Struthio camelus: one gene and its partners. The protein of the gene in region 1 binds, or shares a complex with, the protein of each later gene. Links are inferred from orthologs where the notes say so. Each region holds a gene or a part of one and is shown in the gene's direction. Other genes may lie near its edges. The genes, in order: MEAF6, JADE3, BRPF3 and KAT7.

Region 1 (7,113 bases):
AGGTGTAATTAGCGGTAAAAATATTTTGCAACCAAGATTGCTGCTATCCTTTTGAAGCAGCAAGGATTGTATGCTGCTGAAGACAGAGCTGCTCTCAAGGAACAGCCATCTGTTCGGTGTTACAAATTACTGTATTATATCACCATAAGTTTTAGAAGGTGATGCAGTCTTTCAGAATCTCATCCCGAGTGCCTCCTTACACTCATTATGCTTGCTTAAATTTTTGAAAATACAGAACGTTTTGAAAACTCCATCTACTTCTAGAGTGGCTGCATAAATGGGAATTTTGTGTCTGTCTTGTTATGATTGAAATAGTGCTTTTTGTTTTGCCAGGCTTGTGGAGTACACCCGTGCTGATGGTACAGTTGGCCGCAGAGTAAGGCCTTATATAATTGACCTTGGTTCTGGCAATGGTACTTTTCTAAATAACCAGCGGATTGAACCTCAACGTTACTATGAACTGAAAGAAAAGGATGTGTTGAAATTTGGGTTCAGTAGCAGGGAATATGTTCTTCTCCATGAATCTTCAGATAAATCTGAGGCAAACACAAAGGACGATGATGAGGAGGAGGACGAGAAGGAGGAAGAGTCTGACAGTTAACAGATCAGGAGGAAATTGGGGGGGTGAAAAAAAATCTTTGCAGTAGAACGTGCATTGGGATGTAAACATTGGCGCATCGAAGCACTGATGCCTCTTATTGCCTTAAAGTCCTTCTTCTGTTGCTGGTCTGTTCTTGTAGCTTATTTTGGGGACTTAATCATCTTGGATAGTTCTGCTTATCAGGAAATTCAGCTTTTTCTAAGCTAATTTCCCCTGACAAAGAAAAAAGAGCACCTGGATGTGAAAGCTGTGGTGCTGGAAATATTCAACAGATGTTGGAAGGCTATCCCCTTCTAGTAAATGATGTAAAACACAGTGGGCATATTTAAAATTATTTTTATGAACTGTTTTGTCATAATCCTTTGAAAATGCTACTTAACTGAAAAATAAGGTAGAAACTAGCTGATATATTTTGTCTTATTTGGTAGGATTTGCCGAATTTGTATGCCTGTTAAGAAATCTAGACAGGAGAATTTACCAAGTTTCATTACTAAAGAGGCAGAAATGTTGCAAAGCCCCTCTTGTATTTGTATGTTTTGGGTAGTTAAGTTTGCATTGTAATAACTTTTCAGGGATGGGCATTTTACCAGAATACCTTGTAATCTACAGGTAGTATAGTTGTAAATGAAAGGAAATGCTTCCTGGGACTTTAGGTTATGGGGCTTGAGGTCTAAGTCAGTATATGCCCAGTATATGTTGAAACTAGATACTGAAATTTTTATTGGATGTTGGGTATCTGGTTCTAAAGCTGGGTCCTTCTTCTTTTTTTTTTTTTTTTTTTTTTTTTTTTGATAACACCACAGCCCCGTAAATAACTTCTCCTTGTTTCTATTACATGTAGATACCTGTTATGTGATTACATGTTTTCAACAGTTTGCACTATTTAAGTTTTCTTTATATAAAATTATACTGTCATTTGTTTGAAGTATTCTTGTTTTTTCCCATAAAAGAAAAGTTGCTTTAGGAGGGGGAAGAAAATTCTACTTAATGAAAATACTTACATTTTGCATATTTTTGGATATCTCCTTCCTGTGCTTGGTTTTATGATAAAAGAAATGTAACATTTTTCACTTTGTTTACTAACTTTGCCTAGATGTTTGTTCTGTGGTCACACATGCTATTCATACATGCTGTGTATATACTTTGTGTATACATATGTTACATATTGTATACACAGGCTGAAACGTTTATGGTGTAAATATGGGACATTAATGTAGGGTTTTCAAACAGCTGGTAGAAGAATGTGTTTTGACTAGGAGGATCTCCTTTATATATACTCTAGGGGTTTTTAAATAAAGAATTTGTAAATTTAGCCCTAATTAATTTTAGTTGTAATATTTTTCTAGTGTCCCTTTCTCCCTCTATATTATCTGACATAGATGCACTATATTTTTTCGGAGAAACTCACAAAGATGAGGGAGAGATGCTGGTATTGAAGGTATAAATTATTGCAGTTCTTATGGTCAGCAAAAAGGTTCAGCAGTTGAAATAGATTTCACAAGAATTCTTCTATCTACAGTAATTCATTGAACTTGTTACTGAAGTATTACCCTTTAGTAAAAGCAGGACTAAGCAGACATAATGACATCTGTTACCTTACAAATGACATTACTGTAACTGCCTCAGTGGCAGATTCTTTGTCTGTACACTTGGAAATTGTGGTGCATGTGTTTGCTTTTAAATTCAGACTGATGCACCGTGTGTAATCCAGTCCCGAGTACCCCTTCACCCCACAAACTAGGCAACACCTCTCACTTTTTCCTGCAGCCCCAGAAGGCATCACAGCTTCTGGTGCTTGTGTGTCTCTTGTACTATAGTGCATGTTATCAAAGTACTTGTATTTGGTTTTTAAGGACACCAAAGAAATAAAAAAAAAAAAAAAAAGGTTGTGTGGTCTGTGTGCTGCAGATGCTGTGAGTTTGGAGGGGCAGGTGGAGCAGGCTTGCACCATGCTGCTTTATTCAGACCTCTGTGAACCTGAGTCTCCCCTTGGTGGCTTAGTGCAGTGCTCAGGTCACATGCTCTTGCATGCAGACATGTTCACCTCAGAAGTATGAAATATGTGTGTGGTTTAAGCCAAATCTGATCAGTATCGCAAAAGGGGCAAACTAGTGCATAGCGTCCCGTTTATTTCAGAGCATATAAGTCATACAATTTAGACTAATGTAACTAAGAGGCTTGAGCCTAGCTTTAAAAAAAGGGTTGATCAAATTAGACAAAAAAAGCGTTTGAAGCGTGCGGAGCAATTTCAGTAAGTGTTAAAATGACCTGTTCTCAATGGGTTATTTTTTCACAAAGGGGAGGCACAGAGGTGAAGTACGTATAGCCGTGATGTAAAGGGGTGACAAAACACTGTCTTACCCGAATGAGACTTTCAGATTTGTTCAGTTTGTATACTCCTCCTAGCTGTGTTGCTGAACTGTGACCCTCTTAGGAAATGGTCTTAGCTACTTTCAAGCTGTTTCCTGTTCAGTCCGTGGGCTGGAAAAATGGAAGTGACTACTACAATCTGCTGTACCTATTTTGTGAATTAATCATTTCAAACCTATTCTGTACAATAGCACAATTATGATCTTGATTTTGCTGTACTGTTTTTATTATTTGCCTGATGCTAGGGAAAACAGGCTGCTTCTGGTGGAATTCAAGGACGTGCAGTACCCCAGCGCCGAGTGCTGATGAAGACCACAGTAACCTGCTTCCAAAAACGATGCAACACGAACTAAGGGTGTTACGGTTTATTGCCTCACTGTCAGTGTAACGTGTCCTGCTGTTAGGTCCCGAGATACTCAAAGGCTACTGAGGGACGCAGGGCTGACGTGCGGACACCAAGCCGGGGCCTCGTCGTAGACCAAGCAGGAGGATCTGGGAGTCGCTTCCCCGCTTCCTCGGCCCTGCGGCGAGCTGCGAGCTGGCCGCGCTCTAACCGGGGCGTTGGTCCGTGGTTGCCGGTGCCGCCCGGCGTTCTGCTTCACGCCGGTCCGCGGCTGCTGTCGTTGAAGTGCTCGTTCAGGTGCTACAGGGCTAGTTTTCACTGGATGGAGCCACACCTTCGTCTGCGGGAGCTCGCTGGCGGCAGCTGCCCTCTGGTCCGCGGTTCCCCGTTGCGGCCCGGGCTTGGGTGGCGTCAAACGGCGCCAACTCCCGTTTCGCGGGGTTTTACCCTGAGGAGTCCGGGGGGAACGGGCCGGGCCGGGCCGTGGGGCTCCGCGGGCGGCGCTGTGGGCCGGGCCCGTCCGGCCCCGTTCCCTTCCGGGTCGCTCCGCGCCGCGCGGGCGCGGCGTTCCGGGCCGTTCCGTTCCGGGGCGGGGGGCGGTGTTCCGGCCGGACCGGGCCGGGCCGCGCGGGCGCGGGGGCGCCGTTCCGCTCCCTTCCGTTCCGGGCCGGTGCGGGCCGGGCCGCGCGGGCGGCGCCGGTGTCCGAGTCGGTGTCGGCGTCGGCGCCGCGGGCCGGGCCTCAGCGCTGCCCCCGGCGGCCCGGTGCGGCAGCGCAGCCGCCGCCGCCGCCCGCCCGCCCTGCGCAGGCCGCCGCCGCCATGGCCGCGCTTCACGCCAAGGCCGGCGGCCCCCCGCAGATCCCCGACACCCGCCGCGAGCTGGCCGAGCTGGTGAAGCGCAAGCAGGAGCTGGCGGTGAGCGGGGCGGCCGGGGCGGCGGCGGCGGCGGCGGCGGCGGGGGGGGGCGGCGGGGCCGGGCCCGCTCACCGCTTGTGCTTGTGCCCGGCAGGAGACGCTGGCCAACCTGGAGCGGCAGATCTACGCCTTCGAGGGCAGCTACCTGGAGGACACGCAGATGTACGGGAACATCATCCGCGGCTGGGACCGCTACCTCACCAACCAGAAGTGAGTGTGGGCCCGGCCGGCCCGCCCGCCCGCCCTGCCCGCCGGGCCCCTGCCATGCCACTGCCGCGCTCTCTCTTGCAGAAACTCCAACAGCAAAAACGACCGGAGGAACCGCAAGTTCAAGGAGGCCGAGCGGCTCTTCAGCAAGTCCTCGGTCACCTCGGCGGCGGTGAGTGCCGCGCCGCATCGCGGGCCCCTTCCTGCCCGCCGCCGCCACCGCTACCGCTGAGGCCCCTGGGTGGGAGCGGCCTGGGCTCGGTGGCCGCCGCGGCCCGGGGGGAACCGCCTGGCTGTGCTGCCCCGAGAGGGTCTCCGCCGCCCGGCCTTGCTGCCCCGAAGGAGCCCCCCGTCTCGCCAGCCCCCAGGCAGGAACCGCCCGGCCTTGCTGCCCCAAGCTGCCTGGCGTTTGCTCAGCTTGGTGGTGGTTCGACCAGGAGCAAAGCCCAGTGCGGCCGGTCCCGTCCCTCCACTTAATATCGGGATGATCTCTGTACTGTAGAGGGTATCATGGGGGATGCAGCAGCTGCTACCATGCAGGTTTCCTATTTAAGCTGCTGTGCGTGTTTTTATCTCTTCCCTTCCCCAGCATCTTAACTTCTGTGTTGCAGTCTTTTTCAGAAAACTTTTTCCTAGTGCCTGGAGAGGTGAAAGGTAACCACAGTCAAGAAACCCCTCTACCTTACACTTCTGTCACTGCTGTCCGCTTTGTCTCTTTCTTTTTGCTCCTAACTCTCATTTCTGTTGCACCGTGTTGGTGCTAGGTTGTAAGTTCTTTGAAGCAAAGGTGTGGTCTGTCTTCTCTGTGAGGTGACTTCCCCTTTTTTGGTTTGAAAACAAGTGAATTGCTGCTTTCATTAAGTCCCTTTTGATTTTCTAGGCGGTCAGTGCGTTAGCTGGAGTTCAAGACCAGCTCATTGAGAAGCGTAAGTCACTTCTTCATTTCTCTCTGAACACAACTAACTTGGAAAGAATTAAACTTCTTCTGGATCCACTGTGAACTTGCCATTCCATTAGAGCACTCCCCTTTTGGGGACCAACATCTGGTCCTCTTAGGCGAGCTTCAGAGTACTCCCAACACATTCTCTAACTATAAAAGTCAAGAAAGTGGCCGTATGAGAAACATTACAAGTAAAGCTGAGCTGCCTTTCTTGAGTAAGCTTTTATCTTTAGTATATGTTTCAAGGATTCATTGTGTATAAAGTTTATTTAAATACACTTGGTGCTCTTTGGAGAAAGAGTCTGGAGGAGCTAAAGGAATGCATTTTTTGTTTGTATATCTTTCAGTAAGTTGTAAGTGATTATGGGCAAAGTTGAGTGCTCCACGTTCAGATATTCTACAATCTGTTGCGAGCTCTGTTTAGCTCTCTCCTGAGTCAGTCTTGCTCTGAGTGCAACTCTGAAACCATTATGTGCTGGTCAGATAGCAGTGCTGGGTTTCCAGTGCTTAGAACTTAAAACTTTAGTTCTCATAGTTTTTTCCCTAGTGCTTTGAGGTTATTAGCCACTTATGCTCAGGTTTCTAAAAGACATGTTTGTAGTTGATATCAAATCAGATGCAATTCTAGTGTGCCTCAGTCGCTAAGGAGGTAGCTTGGTGTTGTATGGCTCAGCATGCCCTTGGTGCCCTATGCACCTTTGTTGGGGGTTGCTCCGTTTGCTCAGGGCTCCCTGTGGGTTCAGGGACTCTCCAGGCCTGGGATGTGCGCTGCGGGGAAGTAACCATTGTGCTCCTCTGTGTTTGTCATGCTCTAGGGGAGCCAGGCAGTGGGACAGAAAGTGACACTTCTCCAGACTTCCACAATCAAGAGAATGAGCCTAACCAGGAGGATGCTGAAGAGCTGGATGGATCTGTGCAGGGGGTGAAACCCCAGAAAGCTGCTTCCTCTACTTCCTCTGGGAGCCACCACAGCAGCCACAAAAAAAGGAAGAACAAAAATCGACACAGGTTAGTGGTACCAGCAGCCTTCTTGTCATGCCTTGTGAGTGGCTAGTTGTTGAATTGACCTTACTACGGAAAGGAGCTAGTAATTTGCTAAAGTAACGAGCAGCTCAGGGCACCTCTTTGTTGTGGTAATTTCTTTTGTTATTAAGTTGCATGCATCCTGTAGTATTCATCAGGATCCCATTGCTCCCATCGCAATCAAGGAGGGGAAGGCATGCTAAAGTAGCTAAAACAAGCTGTCTGCATAGGCTACTAATTCCAGCTCCGATACAGCTGCACTTGTGACTGGGCCTTTTCAATTCTCCTACCTATCAAGGAGAATAAAACTGTTTTCCCTTTCTATAGAGGAAGATAATAGTTGTAGCTTCCTGTAGCTTGTTGGTTTCTGCACAACTCAGTAAGAGAGGAATATCACTACGCTTTTCGGGGAAGGAGGTGAAAAAGCAAATCGGAATGTTTGGGGCATTATGGACAGCCCCACATTTTCACTGAGATTTTCACTCCAAACCCTTTCTGTTTGTTGTCCCTAACTGAGTCTCTTTCCCTTTAGCTTATGAGAGTTGCTTTGTTTGTCACAAACCTTAAGGTATGCCTGTACGGCGTGGTACAGCCTAGCAGGCTGATGGCTTGGGCATCAGAAATAATCTGTTTTACAGTGGTATTCTCTCTGGGCTAACATACCCTGCTTCTTACCATGCCTCAGCACCCCACAGTAAGAGCTTGCTCAAGAAT
Region 2 (7,330 bases), on another chromosome or scaffold:
CTAGGGATGAGTGTGTGGAGAAGCAGCTAACTTGTGATATCTGAACACTCCAGGGAGCGTCAGTCTTGATTTTTTTTTTGTTTTTTGTTTTTTAACATGGATGCTAACTGCCATAGAGAGTTTCCCTGAGTCTGTATATAAGGCAACATAGAGGCAGCTAACTTTCCAATTTTTTTTAGGTAAGAGATACAATTTGTTTCCTCACTAATACAAGCATAAGAGGTATTCTTTGTTTCTTTTGTGTTAGGCACTTACTTGTGTGTGTTTAAGTAAAGATATAGGCCCGTAACACTGAGACCTGTTAAAAGCTGCTGGCAGTTCTCTCCATTCTCTGTTACTATCTTAGAAGGAGAAAGATAAATAAAAGTTCTGCCTAAGCGTAAAACTTTGAACTTGTCAGATCCTGGAAAGTGAAGCTGGCACACTCATTTTGCTCTGAAGAGAGTAAATGCTTCATTATTGTAGAAGGTGCCTTTTTTTTTTTCCCCTCCCCTTTCTGAATGTGCTGACCTTCTTAAGAGAGGAGACCTTTCCCCTGATTTCTGAAGTCCCTGCTTTAAAAAAATTTTTTTTTTTTTGGTAAAGGTTCTGCAGCTTAAGTGGAGGGGCTGTGCTATGACCTGAGGGCCTCTTCTGATAGCTACCCCAACAGGTGCTAAAGGATTGGGTTCAGTGTTGGAAGTAAAGATAATCTTTTGAAAATCTGAGTGGTCTTTGCTTCTATTTGTAATAGTGCATTTTAGAAAGAAATACTTTTCATCACAGGAGGGTTTTGAGACAGCTAGTGAGCCTTAGATGAGGTTCTACTTCCCGCCCCCCCCAGAAGAATGAAAGTTACTCCACAGCAATAATTAGCTCTTTTGTTTGCAGGTGGGCGTTTGTGCTTTACTATAGCACTTCAATGATTTTGTTCATTGTGAAAGGAAAATAAGGGAGTTATGCTTTTCTGTCTCTTGCCAGTGGCTGTCAATGCTTGGCCTGATTTGGGGGATGTTGTATCGAGGCTTCATCAATGGCCTGTGATCTACCAGCGATCCAACTTTTATGCAGCCTTTACAGGTTTCAAAGAAAAAAGGTATGCCAGGCTTTGGTATCTGTGTATTTCTTTTCTTACCAGAGATGAGCAGAATTGCGGCCCTTGGAGGCTTCCACATGCTGGCTGGGAATGCTGCAAAGACTTGGACGGAGAGGTATGAATTGGATCTCCCCCCCCACCACCACCACCAAACCTTTCCAGTTCTTCCTTCCCCCCAGTGTACCCCTCCATGATTCTACAACTTGTTTGTTGCCTGTTTTACATCCCTGGCATCTGACCAGAGGTAGCAGATTTGGTAGAAAAAATAGTTTTCTGTTGAAATTCACTGAAAATGCTTCTAGCTATTTCAATTATAGATGCTTTTTTTGCAGCTCCACTTTGGGTTAAACTCTGAGTGACCCTACCTCTCAGATGTTAAACATTACTTCAGTGTAACTTCCTTAATATTTTAATAGACTATGTGCAGCCCCTAGCTTTTGTACAGCTGAATAATGACTTAGTTCAACCTGCTTATAGTATACATGTATGCATTATTTCGTTGTGACCATTTATTTCTCTTGTATTTCTAGTTTCCAGAGCATTCCTCCCTTGGGAGGACTTTGTGTTTGTGCTATATTTTATCAGCATGTTAACATCTGGCTTTGCAAATACCGCCTATTCTCTAGGTGCATAGGAGCATCTGTAGTTCATCCTTTCATAAGAAAATGTGGAAACTGTGTTGCATGTGTCTTTTAAAGAGAAGAACAATATATAGTCTGCATCTTATTTTTCATCTTGCTACGTTTTCTTATAGAACACACATAAAGAATGTAAATGTAATTCTGTGTAAATTCTTATCAAATCATAAATAGTTTGCTAGAATTAACATGGGATCAGATAATGAAAAATTTATTTGCATATAAAAGCGTTTATTGAAATTAGTAGCCCTACTGACTCTGTGCCACCATTTTTTCCGTGTCGCATATCTTTCAGCCCTTAGCATGTACAGATGCGGATTTATGGTAGAAGTGCAGGTTGTAATGTCGTCCCCTCTATCCCTTGATACGTGACAGCCAGTGAAGGGGAGGGAGGTGTGATCCCAGGCATGTGAAATGAAGACAGCTGCACAACACCTTTTCCTGGGTTGGGCTGCATCTGGTCCTGATAAAGTCATTCATATATGAAATAATCTGAAAGAAAACTTCTCATAGGAATGCTTATTTTACTGATGGGAATATGCATTCTTCGTTGTTCTTCAGAATGACTGATAAACACTATATACTCCACTGTGCAGGTTTTGTGGACACAGAAACAAAAAATCATTTAAAAATATAAATTAATATATTAAAATATACTTCCACATCGTTTGTGTTAAGGGTAACTCAATCAGATTTAAAATTCCTTTTATGACTAGAAAACAGCTTGTCTATACTGCACAGACTTGGTTTTATTTCATTTTGAATTTTCTGCGTTCTGGACTTTAAACCTCTTGTCTAAGAGTTAGCATTGCCTGCCCTACTGTCTAGACCATCCAATTTGATATAGAAGATTCCACAAGCGTGTCTGGGGGCAGAAGGAGTGTTCTTGACATCTTTACTTGACGTTGCGGCTTTCTGAAGCTGCTCAGAGGCACAGAGTGTTTTCCTGGCAAGTATATATTAATGAACAGAAGGCAAATGAGGTGATCACTGGTGCATGCAGAAAACCATACATGTCCGTGTCACTGTTGCGTTGCTGTCTGTGTTTGTAGAAAGCTACCTTTTAGTATTACATAAAGGAATATTAACCAAAGAAAGAGTGGGGTTTTTTTTATGCAGCAGGTACTAGATGCACAGGACTCCTTGCCAGCAGTGTTTTACAATCAGAAGGTTTTACATTCAGCTAACGCAGGTTCAGTCAAAGCTTACTTGGGCAAGTACTGGAGAAGTGATCTATTGAGAGTTACTAAACAGACAAACCACATCGCGCTTGGGAAATCTCCTCAGCTAAAAGTAGTTGGAGGCTTGCAGAGTATATGGGGGAAGTATCTTTCTGTGGATGCCCGTTTGGGCCAGGAGGAAGTTGATGAGGAGGCCCAGGACTCAGTAGAGCTAGAGAGAGGTTTAGCAGGCTGGATGGACCGTTTGGCCTGAAATGGTGCTCCTTGGTTACGACCTATGTCACCTCTTCTTTTGGCCGTTGCCTGCCAACACTGTGAAAGTGCAGCTCAGGCATGCCAAACTATCATTGCTCATCTCTTTGTTCCTTCTTCATTGTCCTTACCATAGCCTTACCTTTCCTTCTCAGTGCCTGGCCTAGAAAGAAGAAACTTGGCTCTGGGCTGTATCTGGTTGAGAGACCAGATGTGATTTCCCTCTCTAAGAAAGTTTCCGTGTGGCTTAGTGTGAAGTGAGCCTTTCCGTGCCTCGGTGTTACTGCGTGTGGGACGGGAGACCTTTTTTTACAGCGGTCACGAGGAGTTTACAATGTATTTGACACCACTGATACTTAGTGCTAGTAGGGGAAATGCGTGTGGAGTCTAGTATCAGGGGAGGTTTGCCTTTTTTTTTTTTCGTTTTTTGCTGTTGTTTCCTTTATGCCCAACGCTGCTGTCTGCGCTTTCTACCAATTGTCGTCTCAATGGGGAACTCCGTTACGGGTCAAACGGCTAAAATCTATCAGCCGCTGCCAAAAGCTGCTCGAAGGCAGGCTTTACGGTGGTAACGTTGTTCAGCCGTGCGCAACTTGAGTTAAAACGTCCCTAACGCCGCCTCCGACGGGGCGCGGGCGGGCGCCAGAGAAGCTGCCGGAAGGCGGCGGGCGCATGGCGCCGCGTGCCGCCCGAGTCCCCGCGTAGCCAGCCGGGCCCGCTCGGGTGGCCGCGCACCCGGTAGTTTGAGAGGCGCGGGGCCAAGGCCGTTGACCTTTCATCCGCCCCTCGGGCGCCGCATCAGCCCCTCACCCGCTGTAGACCCCTGCGAGCAGCGGGCAGAGCCGCCGGGTGCCCCCCGCCGCCCCTCAGGGTGGAGGAGGAGGAGGGGCCGGGCGGCGGCGGCCCGGGCCGGGCCTGGCAGCCCCTGTGGGCGCAGCTGGCAGGAAGGGCCCGGCGCGGGCAGGGAGGGAAGGGGAAGAGGCGGAGCCTGGAGCGCAGCGGTGTCAATGCTACAATAGGGCTCTTGTGCGGGCGCCGCCGCCGCCGGAGGAGGAGGAGGAGTGGGGGCCGGGGCCTGGCTGCGGGAGCGGTGGCGGCGGCGGCGGGGCGCGCCGAGGAGCCGGCACACGCAGGGCGGGGGCCGCCGCCGCGGGCGGGCGGGCGGAGGCGATGCGCGCCGGTGCGGGGCAGCAGCCGCCGCCGCCGCCGCTGCTGCTGTTGCTGCTGCCGCGGCGGCGGGAGCGCCAGCCCTGACGGCTGCGGCCGCCCACGCCGGCGAGCAGGGGAGGCCGCGGCGCGGCCGAGCGGGCCCGGCCGGCGAGAGGTGAGCGCGGGCCCGGGCTGCCCGCATGGAGGCGGGGCGGGGGGCGGGCGCAGGGCCGCGCCGGGTCGGGCCGGGCCGGGCCGCCGAGCCGAGCCGGGGCCTGTGCGCGGGGAGGCGCCGGGCCTGCGGCGGGCGGGACGCGGGCGGCGGCGTTTGGCGCCAAGGCCGAGGAGGAGGAGGAGGAGGAGGAAGTAGCAGCGTGGGGGGGGGGGAGGAGGCGGCGGTCGGCGGGTGCTGCGGCTGCAGCCGGCCGGCGTCGCGGGTGTGAGGCCCGGGTATGTGGGGGCGGCCGTGGGGAGGGGGAGGAGGAGGGGGAGGGCGGGCGGCGCTGCCGCGGCCGGAGGGAAAAGTTGCGGCGGAGTTGGTGGGGGGGGGGGTGTCGCCCCACGGGCCGGGGCGGGCGGGAGGCAGCCCGTGGTGAAATGCCCTTTTGTCTGCAGCAGCGAGGCGATGTGAAGGCTCGTTGGCGTCCGCAGGAGTCTGCTTCGCCTCGAAGGAGCGTGTCGGGGCGGGGAGGGGAGGGGGGCGAGGAGCGGCCGCGTCCCGCGCGGAGCCGCCGCCGCCGCTCTGGGGCTCCGTCGTGCGCCCGTCTGCGGCGGGGGCCGGCGCTAACGCGGCCGTGACCGGCCTTCGCCGCGCATCGCTGCCAGCAGGCACGGATGCGTTTTTCCGCTTCCCCCCCCCACCCCGCAATTAAAAAAATAAATGAAAAAATCCCATCACCCCTTTTTTTTTTTTTTTTTTTAAACCAGTACCTCGAGGAACTTGCTAGAATTGAGTTTGGCAACAAGATGCTAGCGCGATGTTTTTGTCTTAATAGCCTGATGCTCAGTACGCTGTGGTGAAGGTAAGTTGGATTTTTATTTTTTTTTATTTGATTACATTTTTTTTTTTTTAATCCTCGCGCGGTGGGGCATGGCTAGCGCCCAAACGCTGCGCTTGGTTTTTAGGGTTAGAGAGCGGAAGGTCCGCGCTCTTGCTTTTGTTTCTATAAATGAAACCTTTCAGGATCCTCCCTCAGATGGCATTTGCTTTAATGTAAAGGACTTTCTGTAAAAGGGTGGTTTCGTTTTGTGTATGCGCAACAGCCAGTACGATTAGCGGCTGGGAGTGTAGCGAGATTAGCACTTAGAAATAATTCTTTGGTGAGCGATGGGAGAGCATCAAGTCGTTGGGTATGTTTTAAAATGCATCTCAATGGGAAGAATAAACGCCTTTCCCCCCCCCCCCCCCTTTTAAACTGCCGTTATTTCATGAAAAGCATTTTTAATTATTTGAAAAGTTGAACTGTTGTTGACAAATTGTTTTCTTAAGTGACTATATTCTTGAAATGTAGTAAAGAAATTCTGCTAAATTAGCGCTGTATTTTAAAGCCTTTTTTTTTTTTTTGCGTTCAGGAGAATGGGATGCAGGAGACAGCATACAGTTTTGATTGGAAACCCTGTGATTAAAATAGGCTAGAAACTTGAAAGCTGTTGTACCTCTGTTAACATAAGAGAGTCATTACACTAAAACTGAAAGATTAGGGAACTATATTTTGTCTTGGTGCGTGTGAGATGTTTTGTCTGCCACCAACTTCTTACATCACCTTGCTGTTTGTTGTGGGCTATTCCATAGAGCACTTCAAGTACACCTGCTAATCTATACAAAGTGAGAGCATATCTGAGCAATCGCGGAGTTAACCTGAAAATGCAAGATGCAGATGGCTTTAGCAAGGGAGGCCTGCATGTACGTTGGCATAACTTTCAAGTGTGCCACGAAGTCTCTTAACAGGACAGCAGAAAAACATTGCTGTGTGTATTGGAGGGAGCAAATGCGATTTTTAAAGCCTCTTCAGTTAAGAAAGTGCTTTTTCAAATTACAGCCAGTTAGTGCTTAGATCTGAAGTATTTTTTACGTGAACTTCTGACCTCCTTCCAGACTAGACATGACATGCTCTGTTTTTAATGCCAAAGAGGAGCAGAAAAAAAGCTCCCTTCTGAGAAGGTCAGGCTTTGTATACAGTAAAAGTCATCAAAATAATTACAGCTGCTTCTATTTACCTGTCCTTCATTTGCTGTTTACTCCTTTCTAGGTTCCTGTTACAGAACAGGTGCGCCTGCCGTGCATCCCCTTCCTCCCCCGCCATCAGAAAAAAATCCCCTGAGTTGGGTCAGTTGGCACAGCTGGTTTTGTTTTTTCTAATTTTATTTTTGATGTATAAACGTAGCAGATACCCACAAGGATTTGCTAAAGAGCTGAGGCTAGAGCATATGCAGTGGTATCTCCTGGCAAGGATGCATGTTCATTTGGGATCTCATTAAAATCGTGAAAGTCCTTTGTGAATATAAAAGTCTGGGTTACAGTATCTCAGTGAAATATTAGGATAATTCCAGCTTTTCTTTTCTGTGGGTCTGTGAACTTCTTTTCAGTGACAGAAAACCAGGAAGTTTTTCATCTTGGTTTTGTTGGGATACTAGAGACTGTTTTTTTTTTTTTTTGGTTTTATTTTTTAAAATATGCATAGTTTTCATAGACTACACAAAGGCTATTTGGCTATTTTTGAGTATTGTTTTTACCTGTACAGCTTTACATATGTACCTACACGCAGGCAGAGAAGTATCTCGTTAGTGTACTAGCTACCACGTGCTGACTGCTGTAGAGCATTTATCCCAAAGAGCTTGCCACAGCTAGCATGTGGGCTTTGTTGAGTAGTGACTTGAATGCTTGGTTGGTGTGAAAGCAGGTGTCCAGGGCCGCTGTGAAACCTGCTGGATTTGTAAGACGTTGTGGTGAGAACCAAAGTTAAACCCTGTACGAGCTGCCTCAAGTCTGAGTTCGGAATTGATATCCCTAAGATGTTCCCCATGGTCTGCTAAGG
Region 3 (7,668 bases), on another chromosome or scaffold:
ACAGGATGGTTGTGATTCTAAACAAAGTTATTTTCAGCGTTGCTGTAAAGGAATTGCTTACAGCTCTGTGGCGTGATGGTCTAGCAAACATTCTGTCACGTATGTAACAGGGAGTGGCTCTGTTGTCTGTAGAGGTTGGGTCATACCCACGTTCATTTTCAGTATCGTGGGAGAGGTCATCCCCTGTCAGCTGCAGGGTGTTTTTGTAGAATATGGTGAGTCGTGTTGGCCTGGGAGCGTACCTAGGCCTCCAGGTTATAGAAGAGCTCAATTTAAAAACTCAGAGTTTAAACTTAAGTTTCAAGATAGGAAGTGACATTCCAAGTAGCGCACAACACGGATCCCTTTCCTCAGGGTCTTCACACGACAACTGGTTTTGCAGCCTGCTTGCAATTTACAGTGGAATTAAGGCAAACCTGTTAGTTCTTTGAACCATCCTGTGGGTGGCTCTGGTATAGTAAGAACTTTATTATTATCTGATTGGATCTGTTTCATTTCCTCATAGAAGTAGATTCTCACTTGCCTGTAGGATTTCTCTTTTCTTTCCTGCCCTTCCTTCTCCCTTTTCCTTTGGTGACCTGCAGATTTTAGACTTCGGCTTGGCGAGACATGCGGATGCTGAAATGACAGGCTATGTGGTTACACGCTGGTACAGAGCACCAGAAGTCATTCTGAACTGGATGCATTACAACCAGACAGGTGAGTTGCATTGCTTCAGCTGTGTGACTGTCTGGTGGCAAGCTGAAAGATCCCCCTGTCATGCCTGGGTCAAATCTCATGTAATCTTCCAGATGTTTTTGTTCTTTATCATCAATGTCTCTCCTAGAGCAGAACTGGGCTGACGCAGCCCCAGCTGGACTACTCCCAAAGTTAGTGCTTGTGGGAAAAGATGAAGGCAGGGATTGTAGTAGCATAGAAAGAACAGCGGAGGGTGGAAAATGAGAGTGAAATTGAAATCAGTGCCTTCTGCAGACTGAAAAGGCAGGAGACAGCCCCCAGCAATCATTTCTTTCTTCAAGCTTGTGTCATTCTTTTTTTCCTGTTTCTCCCTGAACAGTGGATATCTGGTCTATTGGCTGTATCATGGCAGAAATGCTGACCGGGAAAACGCTGTTTAAAGGAAAAGATTGTATCCTTTCAAACTGAACCTGTTTCCTGGGGGGGCGGTGAATTCTTGGCACATGTGAAAGTGCTTTTATGAATATGAAGCTACTGAGAGAAAGGGTATAGGTCTGGTGTACCAAGAGGTAGTCACAGGGGACTAGTGGGGTCTTCTTAGTGAGGGAAATAGTGGAAGGGCCAAGCCACCCCTAGAAATAGATCTCTGTGCTGGCTACATGCACCTTACATCAAGTAGCTAACCTTGCATAGCCACAGCTTCATCCCCAAACCCTTGCATGGGGAGATCCCGAAACCTATGGGCATATTCCCCAGCAGAGTTGTGCCAGCAAAATTCTCTGCTGATGAAGGTGTGCCAGCAAAGGAGTCCTTTTGTGGACAGATTGCGTCTCAGGAAGAGAAGCTGTCTTTGAGTTCTTTTTGCCAGTATAGTGAGTTTCTGCTTGTGTATCTCTATGGGGTTCCTATCATAACACGCTCATAGCTCTCAGAGGTCCTCAGGCCTTCCTGCACAAAGAATTGAGCTACGGGGTGGGGTCTGGGGCTTGCTCCTAGATGGATAATCTTTAATGCAGCATGCCAGACCTAGATCAGCTGACTCAGATCCTGAAAGTAACGGGGTATCCAGGAGAAGATTTCGTGGAGAAGCTGGAAGACAAAGCGGTAAGAAAGCTCACTGTGGCTATTATTCAGGGCCTTGCTGCCAGAGGCATGGTGGAGAGGGATTGACTTTACAGCTTCTTTGAGATGGGAGGGATGTTGCTTTTAAATCAGTCATTGGAACAGGAGAGAGAGAGAATCTTTCCCTCCTGCTGAGGAAGACGTTTCTCTTTATTAGCGGCACATCTGATGTATTTGTCCTTAATGTTTAATGTATTGCCTTGAGAACGGGGGTGATTGTAGGGACTGGAAGTTAAGATGCCTAGGTAAGATGCTTCATGGCTCAGCAAAGCATCTCCCTCCTTTGTTCTTCAATCTGGCCATTTTCTAGATGGGAGTATTTCTGTATCTCAAAGAACTGATAAAAATAGTTCCTCACAAGCTGGTCACTGAAGTGTGACATCTAGGATAATTTGCTGTTCTTTTCTTTCTCCATTGCTCATCTAGGCCTAAACCAAAAGCTCTATTATATACCCCCCCTTGCACTTGTCCAGTTGCAGTAAATGTGTGTGCTGTGCTTTCCTATTTCTTTTAGGCTAAAAGTTATATCAAGTCCCTTCCAAAAATTCCCAAGAAGGATCTGTCTGTGCTGTTCCCCAAAGCCAATCCTCAGGGTAAGCCATCTTCAGTATTTCTCACACATTTTTACTGCTGGAAATAATGTAGGCTGAATGCCCCAGCTGCAGTTTTGTTTCTCTTTCTCATTACTTCATGCTACTTCCTTCCTTGCGGATTATACTCCTGCAGAGGGCTAGCCCTTCCCAGGGCAAATGTGTGTAAGCTAAAAGCAAAATAATTCTTTATCTTGTAGGAGATACAACAGCGCTACAGCAGCAATGTTCTGCTATTCTTGGCCATTTCCTTTATTATTTTTAAATGACATGGCAGTATTTTAGGAAAAGGTAAACTTTTGATGCGTGCATCAACCAGCCAGAAGAGAGCACGTGATGTATAACAGGATGTCTAGGTTGCAGGGTGCAAATTATGGGACTAGGAAAGTTGCATGTAATCTTAAAACACTTTCAGCTCTGTTTCGTATGAGTTAGGATGAATTTTGACTAAGACTGGTTTCCAAGCTTGTTGTTTGTAGCCAAGCAGGTGATATTGCCATTAGTAGCATTCAAATGAACAAACCAGCTCTTCTTTTTCATTATTATTTCCCAGCCCCGAATCCAAGGCATCATAAGTTTTTGTAAAGAGCCAAAAATTTCCATAGTCCATTCAAGTATTCTTTTTTTTGTCTTGTGGGAAGAGTACAGCTTAGCTCATAACTGTGTGTTAAACACCTGTACCTTTTGATATTTAACAGGCAACTGAAGTGTGCGATTTTCAGGGGAAAAATTGATCTCCTACAAGTAACTCTTTCCCTAGATAGCTTATAGAGGTGGGTGAGAAAAACTCTTCTAAAAGCTGAGAGGAAGAAAGCATTAAGCTGTTAAAACCAAGGGGGAAAAGGGCTGACAGACTGGTTAGTATCTGAGTTTCCTGCCTTCCTGTTTACCAGGGAGGTATAGATTTCTTTATAGATTACTCATGTTAAGACTGCTTTGAGTAACAGGGGTCAGAGTGAAAGCAAATTATTGAAATTGAAAATATCTATCTTGAAGTTACTGGCTTGCTGTTTATGTTCTTGCAGCTCCATCCATGCAGCAAGGCCTATTCAAGATTAAGCTGTTTTTTCTGCCTGTTTTACCACTTTAGTCAGAACTAGACTTCTGTTAGCTAAGAGCTACTCGAGGGTGCTGTTTGGTGGATTTTGCATCCGGACTGATGGGGAGCTCCACGCTCCTTTGGCCCGATTGAGGAGTCTGTTTCATTTTCAGGTCTGGAAACAGTAGTACTAGAATCACTGGGGCTATCGCTTTCGGGATTCATGCGCAGGATAGCTGTTCTCCATTTAACCTGCTTAGCAATGTTCCTGTCTCCTCCTACAGCAGTGGATCTGCTTGACAAGATGTTGCAGTTAGATGTGGAGAAGCGTCTTACAGCCACGGAGGCTTTGGCCCACCCCTATTTTGATCAGTTTCGAGATGTTGAGGAGGAGACAGAAGCACAGCAGTCCTATGATGATTCTCTAGAACATGAAAAACTTTCAATAGATGAGTGGAGAAGTAAGAAGTTTGTCTTCTTTGAAGTTCCCATCGTCCTGTCCCTGTCTAGCATGGGCTTTCCTGACCCTTTTTCTGTTTCCTGTGCACGTGCTGAGTAAGGCTGACTTCACTACTATTGCTTGTTAATGCCTCAGCGATAAACAGTGTGCGTCTCCCTTTCCTTACTCTTGTCTTTATGCATTCAGCTAAGATCCCTTCTGCCTGTCTCTCTCCAGACACTTTTTTTGCCTCTGTTTTGTCTCTCTTCCTCCCAGCTTACGCTTGTCACATCCTTTCAGCTGAATAATGATCAAAGTTTCATTTTTTCCTCTAAAATCGAACAGCAGTAATATGCTAGTGATATTCACGATTATTTTGTTCTATTTTTCAAGAGCATATTTACAAGGAGATCTTGTCCTTCAGTCCAATTGCACGGAAGGACTCAAAGAAGCGAAGTGGAATGTCATTATAGCAACTGAAGCAGCTGTGACTGGGATTCGTTTCTTGTGCTGGATTATAGATGGGATTTACACTACACTGCCTTGCTCTTAACCATCACTTGGCCTGTGGGACTTCCGTGTATGTGAGCACGGGGATGACACCATGCTGTGGGCGTTGGACTTTGTTCTAAAAAGGGGGATGCAACCCAAATAGTTTTCCATACTAAAGATAAATATACTCTTATTGAAACTCCAAATGGGAGAATTTTACCTGGTGTTTCTTTGTTTACATATTCATCCACTTGAGAGATCAGAGATGTCATTGTTTCTTTCCTATTGCTCTTTCCAGGAACAAGCTTTTGTATGTTAATTATGGATAAGGTGAAGAAAAAGGTAAAATCGGGAAGTGAGGGCCAAGCAAAATAATCCGAAATAGTGAAATTAAGCATAACGAGACTATCCAACCTAGCTTAGATGCCATCCCCTTTCTCTTAGCAGACAAACTGCATCCAGCACAGTGAGGTTGCTGTGGTGACTTAGGCTCCCAGGATACCGTCAGAATTTAATCTTTCTTGGAATTGGTCTACACTCGGAGAGGCTCTAAACTTCTGACTTGGCCACTTGCTGTAGACAAAACTCCCTACTAAGGTGCCTCCACTTTTGGACAGCCGTTAGCTCTTCTTTTTTGCTCTGTTTCTCCCATCTCTGGATTTTGATCAGTGCCTTCTCCTCCTTATTGCTAGCAAACATAACCTGGGAGTTCACGTCCACTTTTGTACATTTATAGACCTGTAATCCCAAGGAGCTGGGTTATAATGCAGACAGTCCTGCCCGCCCTTACCAGGGCCTCTTTTTTTATCATCAGCCTGGTTTCTCCTACGGTTCTTTCTCAGTTGTGCTTATCTCTCACTGAGCATCCTCGGCCTGGAATTACCCCTGCCTGCCTGCTACAGGCTGCCTTTATCACTCAGCAGGTGTGGTATTTTGTCATGCAGCCCAGTGATGTGACCCCTTATATTCTCATTCCCTCCACTTTGAGGGATTCTCTGCTTCTGTTGTCTTAAAGGGCTGTTCATTCCTCAATATGAAGGGCCATTTAAACTGAGTATTTGGAAATATGTCAATAGTCAAATGTCAGTCTTAGGGCTATGCTCCCCAAGTAAGTAATAAAAAAAATTCATATATTGGAGAAAAAAGCATAAAAGTTGTTTATAGAGAGATGAAAAACAATTACAAGAAAAAAGTACGTAAATGGGATCTGAGAGTAACTGCAATGTTATTACAACTGTGTATGTAGGTTCTTACCTTGGTGATTTAGATCTCAGATAAGCATCTAAACACTTGTACTTCATCAACTAAGTGTAGCTTATCCCCAAACGAGATGCCTTAAGAAAGCAAATATGGGAGAGCAAGTTTTTGAAACTAACTTGGAGTCACTTGACTTCTCAAAGTCTGATACCTTTGTTATTTAAGTCCCTTGCTTGCTGTGACAGCCCTCTTTCTAATATGACTGGATGATCTTGTAGACACTAATTCTCATTAGTCCTTTCAAAATACATCCCATATGTGCTTGCATGGCTTATTCTAAAGCAACGTAACTGCTCTGTCTTGACCACAGGTATCTGAGGTGATGTCATGATCCTGTCTCATTTGTGAAACTAGGACATTTGATAGAATTTTTTGAGAATTTTTCCCTTCTCTCCTCTACGCTTTGAAGTTCTTATTGTTAATATATTAAGTAGTTAATTGCTAGAGCTTCCTAAATACAGTAGGGTCTTTAGGGCTATTTATGGCCTCTCTGCAGTGCTACGGAATAGATTTTTCTCTGACAATCCTTTATTTATTCCTGCTTGAAATATGAATGAATAAGCTTCACCCTCACGAAAAAAATCTTTAAATATGTATTAGGACTCCCCCCAACATGTCACATATTCCTTTAAACACCACTTTGGTTAATAATCACAGTCCTGGAAACGCTAATTATTAAACCAAAGTTTACAGATGTACGTTACCAAAAAAACCCATCATTATCTGCTAGCTATATTCTGAGCAGGTTGCAAGTGCGTAGCCATTTGTAAGGAGTGGTTGTCTAATAAGGCCTCTACCTGCAGCAATGGGAATTGTTAGTTTTCTTGAATGGACTGTAATGAACCTCTGGATAGGTTACACGTTCCTACATATTAATGTTATTGCAGAGGAAGGCCCAAATAATAATAGAGCAGTGATTCATTTGGTTTTAATGTCTCTTATGCTCTGAAAGCGTCTGCATAGGAGCACAGAATTATGCCATCAGTCCCTTTTACAGAGGTGTTCTTGAAGACATCAAGCGTAAGGCTCACTGGCAGTGGCATATGGAGGTCTGTCAGATTACAGTCTGTACATGACTATAGATCTGTTTTAGACCTACAGTTTGTCTCTACCATTGCAGATGCTATCATTAGAGCTGCTTGGTTACCAACATGCTGTACACAGTGGCTCTGGTGCTGCCCAGCGCTTAAGATCTCTTGCCAGTATATTCTGCCTGCAGTTGACAGCAAAAACTACACATAACTACTCTGAATTACTACCATCGCTTTCTAAGCCCTGTCCTTTGCATTGATGACTAGGCGCAGATCTACTGTGCAATCTAGAAATATGATTGCAGCTCATGCAAGCATATCGGAACTAGCTTTAAGCTAGCCAGCTTGGCGTTAATAGCGCAATCTGTAAAGTAGCAAGGAGCTCAGCACAGGCTAGCTTGAATATTTACGCAGGATCCTCAGAAAGTTTTGCAGCCTGTGCTGAATCTGGTATTTCTGCAGATCCGCTGCTTATTGATAGAGTGACTAGATAGTTCAAAGCTAAGCAAGTATGTTTATGTTAGCTGTGATAACACCTTTGGATTGCAGCATAAATATCTTCTTAGCTGGCATCTGCCGTATTGCGATCAGGCTGATGCAGTCAGCGATTCCAAAGTCCACCCCAAGGTGCATGTGCCAAGAGACAACTGTTGTCTCCATGCAAGATGTCAGGGCACACAGTCTCCATGGCTATGTAAAAGCATTTGTTGAGAAAGTATATGAGAGCTCGATTATATATGCAATATTTCTCAACTCTTCACCTCTTCGGTAGCAGCCTCAAAAGCTGCTGAGTCATTTTGGTTTGGTTTAGGCAGGATGTATTTTTTCAGTACTCGTCTCTGTAGTTTTTCTTCTTGGTCTGTGATTTCCAGTTCTACTGGAAATCTACCTCAAATAAGGGAAAATTGCAACATTAATGGAATTTTCTGAGCTCTGGTCTTCCCTGTGAATTGGACAAGGTGACGTTGTATTTCCTGGCTGTCTTTGTTGCAATTTATGCTATGTACTTCTCAGAATAGT
Region 4 (7,580 bases), on another chromosome or scaffold:
CTATTGTCTGGATGGAATATATTTGTTCCTGTAGGGTTTGCTTCTGAAACATACCAAGGCCCGCTTGAGAGCTGGCCTCTGCAGCTGTAATCAGAAGTTAGGGTTCAAAAGTACCTAAGGTCAAGCTTAGTCCAGCTTCAGCAGCAAATCTACCAAATTTAGATTCAGTCTCTCAAAACGTCTACCATTTGCATATACACATTGCTATTTAGCTTGTTTGCATTTTAATCCAATCAAGAATCAAGTTCAAGCTTCTGAGCTACCAACAGTCAGAGTAATTTAGGTTCCAACCCCTGCTCAAAGCAGGGCCAACTTAGATCAGGTTGCTCGAGGCCCTGTCCAAAAGTAATCCAGCAGGCAGCGGCAAGGCCTCAGTTATTCTACAGCAAAAGGGCATCTGTGAGAGACAGGGACCCACATCAATAAAGGCCTTTAAGATGCATCAAACCAGGCCCAGGAATTCTTCAAGCTTTACATGCTCCAGCCAAGAGCTTCTGTGGTGCTGCTCCACTGCCCAGACCTACCACACCTAGAAAACAGACAGTTTAAAACATTAAACTGCAACTCAAAGCACACAGAAACCACCTCTACTCACCCTCAGAGGATGTGAAAGTAGGAAAAACAGCAGTCCTGGGTCCTCCCATATACATAGCAATGCTCTGGATATTTGTAGCACTCAATCATTAGGCTAGCCTTTCTTCAGTCTACTGGGTGGACTGATGATACCTAAAAAACAAGCAAGATTTGTTGGAGTATAGCATTTCACTTTTTTTTTATGGTAGATTTTCATTATAGCACATTTCTCCCACTTCACTTGAACACGCTTAAGCGGGTAAAGTAACCCTGTAGGAATGTATCGTAAGAAACAACACACAAAGCAACTAACAAAATGAACGCTAACTTTCCTGACGTGTTTATCACACAGTGATAATCCTGAAGTACTTTACTAGTATTTATTCTGCTTCATAACAATTCCTGTATAAGCCTACTTTATATTCTCATCAACATGAGCGATGGCTAAATCAAGACAGACAGATCACTCGGCGCTGCATCTCCAAAACAAGTGGGTACCAAGATCAAAGTTTTAAATGTAATTTCTACCAACTGGTGCCTCTCGGTTTATGGATTTTTTTTTTGGTGGAAATTCCCTTTTTGTTGTCTATATTTGCTAAGATGCAGCAAGAGTTTTTATTTTTTAAATTAAGGATAGCAAATGTACATAAGCCTAAGTTCCAATGAATTTTAATTGGATCCAACACCTAGAGAGCTTTATTGAGATTTAGGGGGACTGTCAGGGCCAAGAGATTTCAGGTAGCTACTCAGCTGGCATCTGTGGGAATTTACCAACAACATACCTTCAAGATTCTAGAGTTCAAAAATTCAAAGGAGGGGAAGAAAATCACTGTGTTCAACAATTTAAGTCATCAAGCAATTGCTGAACTTTCTTCTGATGTGACATCAGGAAATTCCTCATTCTAGGTCCTACCTGGAAAATTCTGACACAGTTGAGAGACTGCAAGTCTGTCTCAAGAACCTGATTATGGGAATTTACCTCCAGCCAAGATCCTTGTAGGCAGGAATTTTACTAATTTTGCACCCTGAGGAATCCACTTGGTCTGTTTCCAGGCTGACTCCTGACTTCACTGGCTTGCTCATGGTGAAGTGGTTTCAAGCACTGACATCTAGTGGTGAAGCCAACGAGGCAGGCACCTGTAAGCATGCGGCCTCTCAAATTTCACATCCATTTATGTTTTGCTGCAGAACAGATCTACAGTTTAGGCTCCAACAAATGCGAGTGATGAAACTTCTGCAATACCAATGACTGGGACATGGTCAAGGGCTGTACTTATCCTCCACATACAAATTCAGGAAGAGAAACAAATGTTTATTTTTGCCAGAAGCCTCCTAATTTGGGGTTGGATTTTGAACCGAAATGCAATAGCAATGACTTCTCTAGTAATCACCCGAGACTTTATATCCCTGTAGTTTAGTACTAGAGACAGCTGTAGAGCTTGCAAGAACCCTTCTGTATGTATATACCTGTCATAACATGATCTGATCCTTTGCTCTTCTTGAGAGTGAGACAGCTCAGCTAACACAGGCCATCTTCTCATTACCCACATCCATCTACACACACTAGGTACTGTTTTAGTTTTCCTTCCTTCCCCTTTGCTATGTCCATTCATCGTACAAACGGCACAGAGGATTTAAAGTTTGTATTGCCAGTTTAAATGCCAGGAGTTGACTAGAGAACATGGGGAACTGGCTTCTATTCAAGTATTGCTACCTCTAGGAAAGTTACTGAACACCACCCACTTCAATTTGCCTGCTTTGTTTTTCCCAATAACATCCTGTTGGTGGTGGTGGTGGTGATGGTGATGATGATAAATCCTGCTAATATGCAATAACATAAACATAATGAAGTTAATGTTTAAAATAAATTAACACTTAGAAGTTCTAATTAATACTTGGTGCATCTGATACAATTAAGAGCTATAGCTTTCATATGAGGTATAGTTTTAAAAGAGGAATCCTTCAGCTACCACTGATAGGCAAACACTGCAATGGGATATGGTAACGTGCAACTTTTTACATGGCCATTATATTCTTTGCTCCTTTTTATCCACACAAAGGTGCAAGGGAATTTAACACATTCGGACTCTGCAGCTATCTATGTTAAATGAGCTTTTAAGCTAACTATCAGTCTTTGTACCACAGGCAGATTCTACTTAATGCAAGAAGAGATAAAAGATGAAGGTGCAATTTATAAGTCCTTTTAAGTCTTTTTCGTTTCTCCTGACTGCCCCACAACATTTCCATTACAGTCCTTCATCGGTTTGAGAGAAACAGTCACTCTTTTGCAAGGCCTCAGCTTTGTCTCATGAAAATATGGTAGATGAGCAATTATGAAGTGTTCAGACTAACTCCTCCCCTTCCATTAAGGCGTAATACACTGCTCTTCTCTGCTCCCATTTCCACTGCCCTTTGGAGCTATAGCTTTAGCTCATTTTTTTCCTGCAGAATGTTTTCCCAAATTAATCATAAACTAAAAGTTTCAAGGCACTCTAGTAACTTGAAAATATAATGCTCATTAGCCTAGTATAAGACACTGTCTCAACTGCAATTTGAAGTTCCATTGAATCCCAGGTAAATGGGAAATCTTATCCAGATCTTAAATGCTATTTTTCTTGTAAGGCATGAAAATTTTGCAATCTTATTCCAGCTCCTCCCCCTAAAGCAAGAATCCTTCCTTCACATCCTGGGCTAAGAACGCTGTCCTCCAATGTAGCCATGCTGATGTGCATGGAGTTCTTTGTAAATTGGGAACAGGGTTTCCATTATGTGAGGAGGAAGAGGGGATTGAGGAAACAGAAAGAGGAGAAAAGCTGCTAGTTTTGTTAACAAGTCTTTTTCCCCTTTAAAACCAGAGTCATAATTATGCTATAGCAGGCAGGTGTAGCCTGGGAAAAAGCAGAAAGCCAAAAAGTGGGTTTTTTTTCCTGCAATCATCTCATGAATAGATTAGCAATTGGGCCATTAAAATAACCAGACTTACTCATGAACTGTTCCCCCATCCACAGTTTTCCTGCGCTTCATGTGTGCAATTATGACATGCATGGTGATTTGCAACCAGTACGTGCAGCCCCACTTAACATACCACACTGCTGCTTCCCATCCCTCTCTGCCAGGGCAAAAAGCAGAGGTATTCCACTTCGAGCTCTTCAGTAAGTTCGCCTTTCAGCATTACACAGGAGACCAATACACCTAGGAGCAACAGCAGTTTGGAATGAAAGAAAGACTATTACTTGCATGACTAAGAATGACATGCACTCGCAAAAATTATAAGATTAGACCTTAAGAATGTCCTAATCCTTAGAAATAACCACAACTGCAAAGAAATCATGCGTTTGACTAAACACCCTTATTTCCCCCCCAAGTCCTTTAAATAAAGCAGCACTTTGTCACTCTCTGGCAGTGTTACGGCCTCAGCGTTACCGAGAGGCTATGTCTAACCAGGTGTTGGCCTAACCACAACTAAGGAAACAGCAGCACTCGGCCAGGCCGGCCTGCAGGCCCGGCAAGGGGCCTTGCTGCAAGGCCGCTCGGGCCCCCCCCCAGGCCAGCGAGGAGGCAGGGCCCAGGAAAGGCCTCTCCCTCCAGCAGGCCCCACGCCGGGCAGCAGCGGCACCCCCCCGGCAGGAAGGTCTCCGCACACCCCGCCTCCGCCGCGAGAGCGATGGGGACTCACCGCCTTCCTCCACCCAGTCACTCCATGCACCCGACGGCGCCTCTCTGCCAGGCCTCAACATGGCCACGGCGGGAGGGCTCGGCTTGCCCGTATCCAACATGGCTTCCTCGGGAAAACACCCGCGCCGGTCTCCGGGCGCCGCGGGGAAGCCAGCTGGCTTCACACCCGGACCCAAGATGGCCGCCGCCTCACCCCTGTGCAGATTCCGCCGCCCGGACCCAAGATGGCCGCCGGCAGCTTCACTGTCGGCGGAACCGCCAGGATACCTGTCCGAATCCAAGATGGCAGCCCCCGCTGGCGTGAGGCTGGCTCCGGGTCACGTGACGGGGGGTGTGGACCGTGTCCCGGCGGAAGCGTGAGGGACCGAGCAGGGAACAGGGACCGCTGGCGGCGGAGGGAGCGGGCTGGCGCCGCCGGAGCAGACGTGCCGGAGAAGAGGAGACACGGCTGTCACCACGGAGCCCGCCGGCGCTAACACGGCGGCGGCTGCCGCTTCGCGGGCCGGGGGCGCTGGGGACCAACCCGCCTCGCTGCCCCCGCCCCCGCCGAGGATGCCGCGCAGGAAGGTGAGCGAGGCCGGGGGAGCGCGGAGGCTGCCGGCGGGAGGGCGGCAAGCTCGGGCTACGGCCTCCCGCCTTCTCTGTCCCCCTGAGCTGCCTCTCGCGGGGGCAAAATCTGGGGGAAAATAGCGGCCTTCACCCCCCAGCGCCCGCCCCGCTTGCTCCCTGAGTGGCTCCCGCAGGGGCCTGCTGGGCGCTGATTGGCCGCCATTGCTCATCACTCATCGCCCCCAACGGTTGCCGTTTCCCCTCCCCCCCGCCTGCAGTGCGTCCTGCCCCTCGGCTTTTCCGATTGGGCGGCTATTTGGAGAGCTGGCCGCGGATTGGCTTTACTTGCCCGCCGGGCTGGCCTCTGATTGGTCGCCGCAGCTGCCCATCTACGCCCCCAACGGTCACCTCCCCGCGCGTGCCTTGTTTCTCCCTCTTTCCCTTCCCCCATCCCACTCCCGCCCCCTCCCCCGCGGGGTGGATGTTTCTGTAGGAGCGAGGCTCCCCCGGATAGGCTGGCGGCCGCCGTCAGTCACGCAGTGGTGGCCACGCCCCTTCGCTCTGCCAGGTGCCATTGGCGGGCTCCCGCATTCGGCCCCTCCCACGCGGCTTGTGATTGGCCGGGGCCGGCGCGTCTCGGCTGGGCGCAAAACAAAGCGGCGCGGGGCTGCGCTCGCGCCACGGGGCGCGCGGGGCGGCCTCGCTCCCTCCCCTGAGGCGGCGGCGGCGGCTCTGAGGTAACCTCAGAGGAGATTTTTCTCCAGGGTAGAACACCTGGCGCTTATTTATTCCAGTATGTCATTGTGAGCTTGGAATTACCTGTCAGGAATCAAATATCCTCTCTGTATAGCCTAAGCACGGTATGCAGGTTGAGGTGCTGTCGTGCTAATGCCCGGCTCTGTGGTGTTGCAGAGGAATGCCGGCAGCAGCTCAGATGGAACAGAAGACTCTGATTTCTCCACTGATCCTGAACATACAGACAGCTCCGAAAGCGATGGCACGTCGCGGCGATCTGCCCGTGTGACCCGTTCCTCAGCCAGACTTAGTCAGAGCTCTCAAGGTGAATGCTTTATTTTCCTAAACGCCTAAGTGGCAGGAGGCTGGATGTACTCTGTCTTCCTGACCTTTAGAACGTGTTGAGTTTACACCTAAATAAAATTATTTTATTTTTTGTTGGTGGGTATTGCGGTACCAAGGAAAAGAACAATCTCATGTAAGCGCACTTTGCGCAAATGAGATGATATAATCTAAAGACTAAATTGGTGGTGAAACTCAAGAATCTAATATCTTCTGCTTAAAAAGTAAAGTTGCCTGCCTATTGAATGAAAGGGGAATTAAAAGCCTTGATTCTGCTGCCAGCTTTGACTAATTTTTCTGAGACCTCTAAAATTTTACTTTCCGTCTAGTTATTTACTTAGGTACCAGAGTAGTCACATGGTGTCAATACAGAGAGGGTGTTCAGGAGTGAAAGTTGGTTTTGTTTGCTTTGTTTGTTTGTTTTGGGTTTTCTCTGCCGCAAGGGAAGGTAAACTTTCATGACTTTTTGAGGCTATTCTGCAGTAAAAGTAATCAACATATTGGCAGTTATTTTGTATACATCTACTTTGGCTTCAGATTGTAAGAGGATATGTTGAGTCTTTCTACCTGGTCGTTTTTAGTTTTAGTTTAGCTGTTTCACTGGTAGTTAATAACAGGAAATGAAATGCCATCTGGCATCCAGAGGAGGAAATGACAGTGGATATTAAGTTCTTTACCTTGTTCTGTTTATACTCTTTGACAAAGAACCTGTTTTGTGACAAATTTCCTTGCAGGTAAGAAGTATGCGTGCATAATCATCTGATGGTTATGTCTTGAAAAACAAAAGGAAATGTGATTTGCATCAGTGCATGGGATGCCTGTGATTTTCCTAGGGAGCAAAAGTATCACTTTCCTGTAAGATGGTCAGTTTTGTAGCCTTTTAAGCCGGATAGGATGCCCAAACCACACAGAGGGTTCCGAATATAGTTCCATACCAGAAGCAGCCTTGATTTTCCCAAGGGTTGCCTAAAACTAAGAGTTCTTATTTAAACTAATGATTCTTTAGCTTTTCCGATGGGAGCTGTTTTGTAATTACTAGTTACGTAAATAAGTCCAGAGAAAGTTGATCTAGTCCCAGATTGCTCGGTATTGGTTATAGTGTCAAAGATTTAACCTCAGAAGAATAGAGCAGATCCTTGTGATAACATGCAATGGTGAGATGTGGGAGGACAGAACTGTTTGTTGATATCCAGCTATCGCATGTTGATATCGGAGACTTCAGAGCACGCTTGAGTTAAGTTACTTACAGTGGTTGTTGTATGTGTGATTATGGTGTCTCTGTTGAATTAGATTCCAGCCCAGTTCGTAATCCACCATCGTTTGGAGCAGAAGAGCCTGTCTATTCTACAAGGAGAGTAACTCGCAGCCAACAGCAGCCCGCTCCTGTGACTCCAAAGAAATACCCGCTCCGGCAAACCCGATCGTCTGGGTCAGAAACTGAGCAAGTGGTTGACTTTTCGGATAGAGGTATGTGGGGTGCAGTGAGGCTTTGGGATTTTGCAAAATGCAGTGGGAAAGAGCGTATGACTTATTCTCTGAGGGCACAATACAGTACCCTGAGGATACTCAGGAGTTGCTTTACTTATTTTTCTGAGAGCTTTCTTCCATGTAAATTTGTAACATCTTGATCCTTATTCAGACACTAAAAATGCAGCTGATCATGATGAGTCTCCACCTCGCACCCCTACTGGGAATGCCCCTTCCTC

Evidence for each region.
Region 2: MEAF6 (region 1) and JADE3 share a complex: the UniProt entries of both Homo sapiens proteins name them as parts of the HBO1 complex. The link is inferred for Struthio camelus from reciprocal best matches to the Homo sapiens genes MEAF6 and JADE3.
Region 3: MEAF6 (region 1) and BRPF3 share a complex: the UniProt entries of both Homo sapiens proteins name them as parts of the MOZ/MORF complex. The link is inferred for Struthio camelus from reciprocal best matches to the Homo sapiens genes MEAF6 and BRPF3.
Region 4: MEAF6 (region 1) and KAT7 share a complex: the UniProt entries of both Homo sapiens proteins name them as parts of the HBO1 complex. The link is inferred for Struthio camelus from reciprocal best matches to the Homo sapiens genes MEAF6 and KAT7.

Annotation. Positions count from the first base shown.
Region 1 is NC_090964.1:10,828,219-10,835,331, reverse strand, and holds the start of MEAF6 (chromatin modification-related protein MEAF6), read left to right. Parts: upstream 1-4,103; 5' UTR 4,104-4,133; coding exon 4,134-4,229; intron 4,230-4,323; coding exon 4,324-4,439; intron 4,440-4,520; coding exon 4,521-4,608; intron 4,609-5,316; coding exon 5,317-5,362; intron 5,363-6,191; coding exon 6,192-6,384; intron 6,385-7,113. Other genes in the region: SNIP1 (smad nuclear-interacting protein 1), read left to right, coding at 334-601.
Region 2 is NC_090942.1:148,568,495-148,575,824, reverse strand, and holds the start of JADE3 (protein Jade-3), read left to right. Parts: upstream 1-4,330; 5' UTR 4,331-4,470; intron 4,471-4,615; exon of another isoform or gene 4,616-4,745; intron 4,746-5,222; 5' UTR 5,223-5,317; intron 5,318-6,544; 5' UTR 6,545-6,621; intron 6,622-7,330. UniProt on the Homo sapiens protein: Scaffold subunit of some HBO1 complexes, which have a histone H4 acetyltransferase activity.
Region 3 is NC_090965.1:4,942,602-4,950,269, reverse strand, and holds the start of BRPF3 (bromodomain and PHD finger-containing protein 3), read left to right. Parts: upstream 1-4,662; 5' UTR 4,663-7,668. Other genes in the region: MAPK13 (mitogen-activated protein kinase 13), read left to right, coding at 585-699, 1,058-1,129, 1,703-1,782, 2,315-2,393, 3,714-3,890, 4,262-4,341. UniProt on the Homo sapiens protein: Scaffold subunit of various histone acetyltransferase (HAT) complexes, such as the MOZ/MORF and HBO1 complexes, which have a histone H3 acetyltransferase activity.
Region 4 is NC_090966.1:4,989,128-4,996,707, reverse strand, and holds the start of KAT7 (histone acetyltransferase KAT7), read left to right. Parts: upstream 1-4,569; 5' UTR 4,570-4,800; coding exon 4,801-4,815; intron 4,816-5,709; coding exon 5,710-5,857; intron 5,858-7,164; coding exon 7,165-7,341; intron 7,342-7,513; coding exon 7,514-7,580. UniProt on the Homo sapiens protein: Catalytic subunit of histone acetyltransferase HBO1 complexes, which specifically mediate acetylation of histone H3 at 'Lys-14' (H3K14ac), thereby regulating various processes, such as gene transcription, protein ubiquitination, immune regulation, stem cell pluripotent and self-renewal maintenance and embryonic development.